2 linked regions of the Ovis aries genome follow. The protein of the gene in region 1 interacts with the protein of each later gene in a biochemical or structural test. Links are inferred from orthologs where the notes say so. Each region holds a gene or a part of one and is shown on either strand. Other genes may lie near its edges.

Region 1 (5,091 bases):
CTATTAGTGAATTTGACTTAGAAACCAGGTCAGAAGCACAAAGGCTCATGCCCAGCAGTCTTTATTCAGGAGCAGAGAGCATTTTTCCATGGCCTATGTCTTACTCCCAGCATGAAATACTAGATTTCTTGAGCCCAGATATTCATAGGCTTCTGGCCTTTGAATAACATTCTATTTCCCACATCAAAGGATAAGGTTTCAGCTTCTAGCCTTGCTGCATCATCATACCATCATGGGTGATTATGAGGAATGAAGGTGACTACTGCTATGTACTCAAAACTATCAACTACATTTTTCGGATAGAAGTTGGAGAAACCTTGGGAAGGACTCAGTGTGTCCAGTCCATCCCACCCACCCTTTCTCCAAGTCTGAAGTTTCCTCGTTAGCAGGGGCTAGTGTGCTATTAGGAACATAGGCAGCTCGATGGTAGCTGATGACAAAAATCATCGGCCACTAAAGGGTGCTCATAAAGACAGGGTGTCCACTACCCTTGAGTAGGATTCGAGTCGAAGGAAAACAAAGGAACCATTGTAAAAACCAAAAGAGAGGGGGGCCGGGGTTGTTCAGGAGACCCCTGGATGCAGACTCTGCTTCAGACATCTTCGTGGACAAGCAGAGGCTGCGTGGAGGAGGCGCTGCTGCCCACAGAGTTGATGCGCACAGAATGGTCCACCGCGGGGTTCTCCCGGTGGGGGCTGCAGTTTGCTAAGTTGGAATAAATCTGAGGAAAATAAATCCACAGTCAATACGCCAGTCCCCCACAAGGAACAAAGGGGCACATGTGCAGCTTAGGAACTGCAAATAACTTAGGAAGATTCTTACAGCCAGGAGGTTGACAAGACCTTACAGCCAAGAACTGAACCACACTGACCAAGGATAAGCTTTGTTTTATCCCTCATTTTCCCATGGTCTGATTACATAAGAAGTGATAGTCCAAAATGTGCTTTTCTGCTGGGATGCATCTAGGAATGAGAACGACCTAACTTTTTTTAAAAGGTGCATAAATTTCTATAGCCAATTCCCATCTAATGGCTGATGTCACTTACTAAGAAATTGGTGGTTCTTCCATTGAGAACCAGGCACTTGGGTGTGAAACGCTGTCTAATTTGAAATGTGCTTTGACACCCAGAAGAGCGAACTTCAACCTGAAAGTATCAATGGTATAATCTTAAGAAAAGATAGCTCCACGCACAATCCAGAAGAAAAAAGCAGGTTAAAAAAAAATCTGAGTCGAAGTAAGGATCACTCATTCTTCCTTAAAAGCAAAAGAAATCATGAATTTGAGTTTTGAACTCCCCGCTTCTCAAATCACTGGGAGGGATCCCTCAACTTCAAGCAACTCTTCATTCTCTACGGTTTGCGGCCATGAAAGCTATCTGCTATATTGTGGTTATACTTACTTGAGCAGAAGGTTTATTTTACTGCAGGGAACAAGCTGTTTTTTCTACGTGCCCTACCGCAACCCTCCAAAGGCTGAATGGCCTGACATGTGAGACAGAAAAGATGCAAACTCCCATGACCAACACTTGGGGTGAAGAAGGAAAAGTGGCAAATCGTTATGGAAACTTCTATGCCCACACTTCTGAGCGTCAAGCCCTCTACTCTTTCCCCTCTTCATCTCATATCCCTTGGCTCAGAGTAGGGGGCTAGGCAAAAAGAACTTGTTTCCATTGCGTCACTTTCCCACTCAATTTATAGCCTAAGTGAAGGAGAGAAAGGGTGGGTAGCTTAGTCCTCACCCCCAGAACCTGAGGAGGAGGACATGCTTTGGAACCGAGAAAATGGAGGTCCTATGCCTGGCTAGAGTATACTCACATGATTGGTGCTCTCTGAGATCTGCTTCTCAATCAGCTGCACAATCTGCTTAAATGTTGGCCTTTTCAAGGGATCTGCATCCCAGCAGGTCTTCATGATGTCATACCTGCAAGACCAGGGCCAATTATCACTCTGCAATGCCCTTAACTGATCAGCAGATATATGCCATTCAACAATTTCAAACTTAATTCCAGGGTTACACAACTGGACATACTGAATGACATGGGTATAAAATAAAACTGTGTGTACTGAGACTCCGCCAAAACTTTATTTGGTAGTGAGTTTTATGAAACTCAGCGACAGAAATAACATTTGCCCAGGATGTCATTACAAGGAACCAAATGACATTTCAAGCTATGCTTAGTGAAAACCCTCAACATACGGGTTTCTGTCTTTAAAAAAGGAAAACAAAAGAGGAAACGTTATCTGAAGGAAGGACATCTGGGCCCTTACATTTCCGCAGGTGCATGCTCGGGGCTGAGCATTCGGAAACCTTCCTTGATCATCTTGTAGAACTTAGAATCGACTGGCATTCCAGGGTAGGGGCTGCTTCCTGAGGCACAAACAGTTTGCAAATCAGCATGACAGTAAGCAAGGAGAGCACTGGTAGCTCTGAGTGTGATTAAGGTGCCTTTGGCAAGGCTCACTTTACCTAAAGAGAACAGCTCCCACAGAAAAATCCCATAGGACCAGACATCACTTTCAAATGTGTACACACAGTTGAAAATACTCTCCGGTGCCATCCACTTCACAGGGAGTCGAGCCTGCAATGGAAGCATGGAAGATCCAACAATGTTAATCACATTGTGATTAACAAATCAAAAAAAATCAAAAACTGAATAGAAAATATTCCTATAGAGAGGTGGGGTGAGAACTTGATGGGCACCTCACAAAGACCTTCTACCCATATGACCTCAGAGGACCCTGATTACGTCTGAGAATTATGTTATGTGTGATTTTTTTAGTTTGGGGTGGTTTTACTTTTGTGGGGTGGAGTGGGGTATACATGCCAAGCAGTGGGCAGGACCTCAGTGCCCTGACCAGGGGCTGAACCCAGGCCTTGTCAGTGAAAGCCCAGAATCCTAACCAGGGGACCAGCAGGGAACTCTTGTGAATTATGATTTTTTACTTTTTTTCTGACTACCTCTGAAATATGTGGATCACGAGTACAGCTGACCCCTGAACAATGAGGGTCTGAACTGCATGGGTCCATTTATACAAGAATATTTTTCAATAATAAATGCTACATGATCCATGCTTGGTCGAATCCAAGGACGTGGAGGAACCATGGATATGGAGTTCTGGCTTTCATTTATACTGAGATTCACCGCTGCCTTGTGCAATGGTCAACTGTAATATTGTCTTCTGGAGTGGGTTGCCACTTCCTTCTCCAGGGGATGCTCCCAACCCAGGATCAAACCTTGGTCTCCTGTACTGCAGGCAGATTCTTTACTGTCTGAGCCACTAGGGAAGCCCCAGTACTATCTTCATTTTCAACATGGGGGTCACTGAGTCTGTACAGCCTGGTGGTTAGGAACATAGTTGTCAGAGACAGATACTTGGGTTCTAACCTGGGCTCCACCACTGGCCTTGTGTAACACAGAGGTTAGTTACCAAAGAAGGGTAGTTACTCTTATCCTTTAATAGAAATGTGGCTTCCCAGGGTAAGGACTACATTGCCCAGCTCCTTCATAGCTGTGTGCAGCCATGTGGCTTGGTTTTGGCCACTAAGTATTGTATGACAGCTTTTGGAAAACTTCCTTAATATGAAGTTGGCATGTGTCCTGTGGCCTTTTCCTTCTTGTCTCCTCCTCCACTGTCTTGTCTTCTGGATATGTTGGCTGGCTTTCTTGAGGCCGTCTTGGACCATGAAGCTAAGGCCCACACCAGGGATGGTATAAAATGGAAAGGTTGAGGAATTTGTTCCCTGGTACAGAACCTCCATACCAGGCCTGGCCTGCAACTCCTATACTTATTTTACTTTCCTTTTGGGTGTTCTGTCAAATACAGCCACAGTTATCCCTTACTAACACACTGGGAACATCACATACATCTGTAATAGAAGCCTCAGGATATTCTTCTGTAAAGCAAAAATCAAACCTCAAATTCCATGAGTTGTCTTGTGGATTAAATGAGATAATGTGGGTACCAGTGCTTAGTTCGGTATGGCTGATTCACTAGGATCTGGAAAATTGCCCTGTATAACCAACCACTTGATAAAGACAGCAGTGGCTTATGCTGACTATGACTATTCCAAGGTGGTGAGTGGCAGATTCAGAGTTTTAAATTCAACAGTTGAACTTCACATCCTGAACTCCTTCCGCTAACATCGAGCCAAACTTTCTGTGACTATTCCTCTTAGAGACATTTCTGGATTCTTGGATCTTAATTTACCACAGAAAGCTAAATCAACCCTTCCCATAATCCATTTAGGACCCAAAACTGGGAAGACAATTTTTTTCTGGTCTTAAAGTTATTTTAGTCAGTAGGAAAAAAATAAGAATGCTTTCTAGTATCCCCTCCCAGATTTTATGCTAAAGTTCTTATAGGGGCTCTTAACTTGGGATCTATTAATAAAAGAAATCAGAGGTGCTGGGGTCATCTTTACCAAATACAACACACTCACTAAATGATAGAACCAGGTTCGAACTCCGCAAGACTGGGCCCGGAACCCATTAGCCTTTTGTCAATATTCAAAGGCCTGGATAGAGAACCACCTTTCATTCTTCCCTCTAGTAGTGCACCAGGATGGTGGGGACTTGGTGTTATTAACACTCCTAGCCTTAGCGAGTTATTATTATAGAAACACATACTGTCATCAGAAAGTAAACCCAGCAACATTTCTACAAAAACCAAGTCTAGTACAGCCCACCCACAGAGACGCCTTAGTGATGGAGAAGGAAATATTACATTATGTGTAGGCACACAAATAGCTACCTCTAGGAATAGCTCTGGACTGGAGATATGAGCCTGGGAAAATAGATGGAGAAAAATATACGTTCAGGACTACTGGCTTCCCATACTAATGGGATATTGCTCTGGGAATCATAGGCTCTGGTTTCAGCCTCTACTGATCCGTGTCATCTCAGATAAATATCACTAAAATACACTGTGCTTTTAGTTTCCCCAACTTTTAAAATGTGAAGACGCTGCATTCTAATGCCAAGGGGTTGCCCTGTCGATACAATGAAAATTGGCAATGAAATAAAGCACTTTGAAATAAAATCACTATGTCCCATAAGCCAATTATTCCTTAAGAACGTCTTTAATAAGCTC
Region 2 (5,552 bases), on another chromosome or scaffold:
CAGTTGCACTTTTGTTTGTTACTCAAGGGAAAAGCAACCTGGTAGGGGACCCTTCACAGAAGGACTACTTCTCTTTTTAAAGTTTCTGACTATCTTTTTTTTAGAGCATTTCTGGCTCCATGAAAGGCTGTTGGCCATCACTTCTGACTGTTCTCTGAAGACACTGCAGTGTAATAAACAAAGTTTTAGAAAAGGGCATTAAATATGTGTCCTCCTGCTTATCATCTGTGACTGGAAAAAAAAAAATCACTTAAGCTGTGAGCCTCAGGATTTTTTTTTTTCAATCAGCAGTACCTAACAGAACTGTACTATGATCACGAAACTGCCTTTACCTAACACATTAAATAACTACTATAATACTTTAATAATGGCCAGCACTTTATAATCCTCAGAAGTTGGTAGCATTCTAGAGGGAGGGGGATACATTTTTAATCTTTATATTCCCAATGCCTGCCACACAGTCAGCACCCAGTAATTATTTGAAAAATGAATTAGTGAAGTGATTAATGGTAACAGTGTGTGCCAGTCACTCAGTCATATCCGAATCTGCGATCTCATGGACTGTAGCCTGCCAGGCTCCTCTGTCCATGGTATTCTCCAGGCAAGAATACTGGAGTGGGTTGCCATGACCTTCTCCAAGGGATCTTCCTGACTCAGGGATCAAACCTGGGTCTCCCACATTGCAGGTAGATTCATTACCATCTGAGCCACCAGGGAAGCCCAATTAATGGTATAAACCAGTACACAATCACCATCAGATTACTGTCAAATTTCTGAGAATAATATCCACGTAGAGTTTACTTTGTATGTTGGAGATTTTTAATTTTCACATGAACTTAAGCACCCCACCCCTACCCCCCGTACCGCCTCTTAACTTACTTCTCTTACAGAACACCAACTTGATGTCTCTATTGCCCAAGGTCACATTCTCAAACAAACAGACTGTCCATCTAAAGCTCACCTGTTAAACCAGCAGGATATGAACCTGGTGCCACTGAAAATGAGGAAGATGCTCCCCCAAAGGGTGTCACCACCGAGGGCCCTCCGAATGGAGTCAGGGAGAGGCTGCTGAAGCTGGCAGATGTGCTCTTTGCGGAGGATGTTGGTGCCACCACAGCGTGCTCTGCTCCGTGGTGGCCGACTCCTGTACCGACGGGCTCTGGTGTGCTTTCTGGTCTATATTTAATGGATGGACTTTTGTTCTCTTTACTTTTAATGCAGCCCATTATCAAGCCTACCAAGGTGATAAGGCAAAGTGTGAGAAGCAGTTATCATAAAGGATGCTTCAGAAGAGGTATACTTTAGCAGCTGCCTTTAAACCAGGCATTTCTCTCCTGCAAAAAAGAAACAACAACAAATAAACCAAAAAACCCTAGGCAGCTAAAAATAAAGTCTCTCCTCATTTATTTTTATTACAGTTCTGCTAACATATCATTCTAATCATGTCATTCTCCAGCTCAATCACCTTTATGGCTCAATGACAACATGCCACAGGGTACTGGGAAAACCATGGGCTCTGAAGTCAGGAGCCAAAGTCTGAATCCTGGCTTCCTACTTTCTAGTGGAGTGATTTTAGGTATGTTGTTTAACTTCGCTGCAACCTCAGTTCCTTGAAAAAAGAAAACAATATCACCTACTTCATAAGGTTTTCCATGAGAAGTAAGTTTATTTATCACAACTTCTAGACTATCTCTGGTACACAGCAGGCACTAGCAAATTCTGGCATTTTTCCTTCTACCTATACCAGCTCTGTGTAACAGAAACAGAATCTGAGCCATAATTTTATTTTTTCCTATCTATAATTTTAGATTTTCCAGTAAACACATTTAAAAAATAACAGATCAAATTAATTCTAGTAATATATATTTCAACATGTCATCAGTATGAACAATGTTAGTGAGATTTTTATACTCTTCTTTTGTACTAAATTGTAGAAATCTGATGCGTATTTTAAACTCACAGTACACCTCAGTTTGGACCAAGCACATCTCAAGTGCTCAACAGCTGTATGTGGCTAGTGGCTACTCCACTGGACAATGCAGTGCTGTATCTTTTCCCTAGTGATGGACACGCCCTCAATGCTTGCCAAATCTGATTCCAGTCTATCTTTCCCACTTTACCTCCTATCATTTCCTCACTTATCTTATGCATAAAACAGAAACAGTCTCAGATCTCAGAGCTGGAATGTCTTTAGATCACTATCTTAAAACCGGTATATTCAGAAGATGTGACAATAAAGCGCAGTATAGGAACATGACTGGGACTGGAAGCCTAAGTATCTACTGAAAACACTATGAGACAATGACAAGCTAAATATATGAAAGGCAGTTGCGTCTGAAAGCGTCAGAAGGAATGTAAGGTAGGTTGGTTCATAATGCGGTAGTTGGAAAAGAAAAGCCTTTTTAAAGCATAATGTGAAAGTTTCTAGAAACCCTAAAGGAAAAGACGAAGAGATATATGATTAACTTGCGGGTGGGGGGCAGGTATGGGCATAGAAACTTTTAAGTGAAACTAAAGACATGAGAAGTAGGGAAAATGTCTCTGTACTTGCTCATGCTCTTACTTGCTCTCTCAACACATGAATGTACCATATAAGAATTAGTTGAGGTTCTTAATATAGACAAGGGCTTCCCTTGTGGCTCAACTGGAAAAGAATCCGCCTGCAATGTGGGAGACCTGGGTTTGATCCCTGGGTTGGGAAAATCTCCTGGAGAAGGGAACGGCTACCCACTCCAATATTCTGGCCTGGAGAATTCCATGGACTATATATATAGTCAGTCCAGGGGTTGCAAAGAATCGGACACAACTGAGCAACTTTCACACATTCACACAATACAGACAACTCTTACACATGAGAAAATACACATAGCCCCTTAGAAAAATCTGAATGCCTATCAAGAGGCAATTCACAAATGAAACATGAAAGGCCAATTAGCGTATGAAGACATGTCCAATCACCCCAATCTTCAAATAAATGCAAATCTCTAAAGGTATACTTTTTGCTATCAGACTGGCAAATTTTGACTCAATACTCAAGGCTGAGGCATGAATTTTAACCATCAATATATACCCACAAAATACATTAAGTTACAAAAAATATTTTAACATCTGTACAGAGAATTTTCACTATTACCAATATCTGAAGTCTAAATATTAAGAAAATATTTTAATAATGACATAGACTTTGAAAAAACAGCAGTTGTATGATGGAGAAAAAATTATGAAAGCCACAATGGGTGCTAACTTACTTTAAATTGGATAACAGACCAATTGAAATATATCACTTCATAACCAAAGTTACTGTATCCCTGACCCACCCTTATTTCCATTTCCAGCTTTCTTAGTTTCTCATTTTCACCTTCTTCACTCAGGATTCCTGTTACGGTCTTTTCTCCCCATAAGACATCACTCCTAACTTAACTCTTCCTCTGTAAGTTCTAGCTCCCCCTCCGCCCCCACCCTTCCAGTTTTCCATTACTTCGCTTAACCTGTCCTCCAGTTTCTTTTTCTTAATCCAGAATCTTTGGTCCAACTAGTCACAAATATACAGGAGCCATCACTGCTGGCTCCTGCAGAAAAACAATTATAAATGTGGAATGTGACTTCTATTTTTTAAGTAATCTTCAGGTGTAAAATGTATTTAAAAGATTTTAATGGATTCTCTTAGAAACATAACATGATTTAAAATACTTATAAGTGAAAGCCTCTTTCAGGTTCCAAGCTACTAGCTTACAGATATATTATTTATTAATAACATATTTATTAGACACTCTAAAGGGAGCCAAAGATGCCAAGAAATGGTTCTTTTTCCTTAAAAAGGTCACAAGTAAGTATAAGAAAAATCATAGTATTGTACAATGTGAAAACCCTGGAGGAGGGCATGGTAATCCATTCCAGGATTCTTGCCTGGAGAAGCCCATGGACAGAGGAGCCTGGCAGGCTCTAGTCCACAGGGTTCCAAAGAGCTGGACACGCCTGAAGTGAATTAGCAGGCATGTATGCACGCACAGTGGGAAAACTGCCAGAGTGAAAACAAAAAATGCCAGAGCAGAGGTATATACGAACATGCTGGGAATACCACCAAAGTTATCAGCTCTGCTGGGAGCCTGGGAAAGAAAATTCTGCAGACAGTGGCACTGAGCTAGTTTTGAAGGGCTGGAGATTTAGGAAATAATATTCTAGAAGGAAAGAAGTGTGAAGAATGGCTCTAACGTTTGGAAAAGCAAGGTGTATCAGGGAACAGAAAACTGTGGCAGAAATATAAGGGCATGTTTTTGAGAATGGTGGGACAGGCAGCTAGTTAGAGGAGAATTTACACACACAGAGGGTTATTTGCTAAGAAGTAACTTTTAGATTTATCCAGGGAGTACTGGAAAGTTGAGATCCTTAAAAAGCTGAAGAGCAGAAAATATGTGTTTGAGAATAACTATGGTGGAAGCACGAGTTATAGACTGGAAAGAAATAATGATGGCAGTTAGTCAAGTCATAAAACTATTGCAAAGATCCATGTGAGGAAGTACACAAGCAGGAATACTGTGGGGCCAAAGGTGAGGGGGAGATGAGAGGCAAACACTAAACACAATAATCAAGTTTAGATGAGTGGCTCGTTATGGGTGGATGTGAAGAAAAAGGAGTCATTTAATGGCACCCCACTCCAGTACTCTTGCCTGGAAAAATCCCATGGGTGGAGGAGCCTGGCGGGCTGCAGTCCATGGGGTCGTGAAGAGTCGGACACGACTGAGCGACTTCACTTTCACGCATTGGAGAAGGCCATGGCAACCCACTCCAGTGTTCTTGCCTGGAGAATCCCAGGGACAGGGGAGCCTAGTGGGCTGCCGTATGGGGTCGCACAGAGTCAGACACGACTGCAGCGACTTAGCAGCAGCAGCAGCAGCATGCACTCCCTACAATTTATTGGACACTTTAAAAGTATTGACTAATTGTGTGCTAAAGGGCTGGATGACTCCAAAGTTTCTAGTTTGAACTGAACGGAAAGCAACACCATAACGGAGGTTGAGAAAAGAGAAACAGGTTTTTCTGGACCAACATGTTCAGTTTCAGAAGTTAGTTTTAGGGGCCTGCTGGGAATGATGTTGCAAAATCGAGTGGGGAACTGATAATAAAATCTAAAACTCACAATGAGGCAGAAACCAGAGAAAAAGTAAATGAAAATATTTTCACAGTGTTATTACACCTTTTGGAGATAATAAAACTCACCCAAGGTACAGATTTGGAGGGGTGTGAAAAATTAATACAGTGCTCCAGGACACCTACAGATAAGGGATAGGCAGGCAAGGAAATTAGGAAGCAGCAATTAAGAGTCAGGAGTGCTTTCATATGTATCAAAACACAACCGGAAAGGATTATCATTGGTTTCAAGATGGGGCAGAGGGAAATGGCAACCCACTCCAGTGTTCTTGCCTAAAGAATCCCAGGGATTCTGGTGAATCACCAGGGGAGCCTGGTGGGCTGCCATCTCTGGGGTTGCACAGAGTCAGACACGACTGAAGCGACTTAGCAGCAGCAGCAGTTTCAACTGTCTCTGTAGCACT

Evidence for each region.
Region 2: the proteins of KIT (region 1) and YES1 form a complex in vitro, tested with the Homo sapiens proteins (2 studies listed by BioGRID and IntAct, with this or other methods). The link is inferred for Ovis aries from reciprocal best matches to the Homo sapiens genes KIT and YES1.

Annotation. Positions count from the first base shown.
Region 1 is NC_056059.1:70,941,181-70,946,271, reverse strand, and holds part of KIT (mast/stem cell growth factor receptor Kit), read right to left. Parts: intron 2,580-5,091; coding exon 2,468-2,579; intron 2,369-2,467; coding exon 2,269-2,368; intron 1,922-2,268; coding exon 1,816-1,921; intron 722-1,815; coding exon 593-721; 3' UTR 1-592. UniProt on the Homo sapiens protein: Tyrosine-protein kinase that acts as a cell-surface receptor for the cytokine KITLG/SCF and plays an essential role in the regulation of cell survival and proliferation, hematopoiesis, stem cell maintenance, gametogenesis, mast cell development, migration and function, and in melanogenesis.
Region 2 is NC_056076.1:36,065,841-36,071,392, forward strand, and holds part of YES1 (tyrosine-protein kinase Yes), read right to left. Parts: intron 1,335-5,552; 5' UTR 1,227-1,334; coding exon 962-1,226; intron 1-961. UniProt on the Homo sapiens protein: Non-receptor protein tyrosine kinase that is involved in the regulation of cell growth and survival, apoptosis, cell-cell adhesion, cytoskeleton remodeling, and differentiation.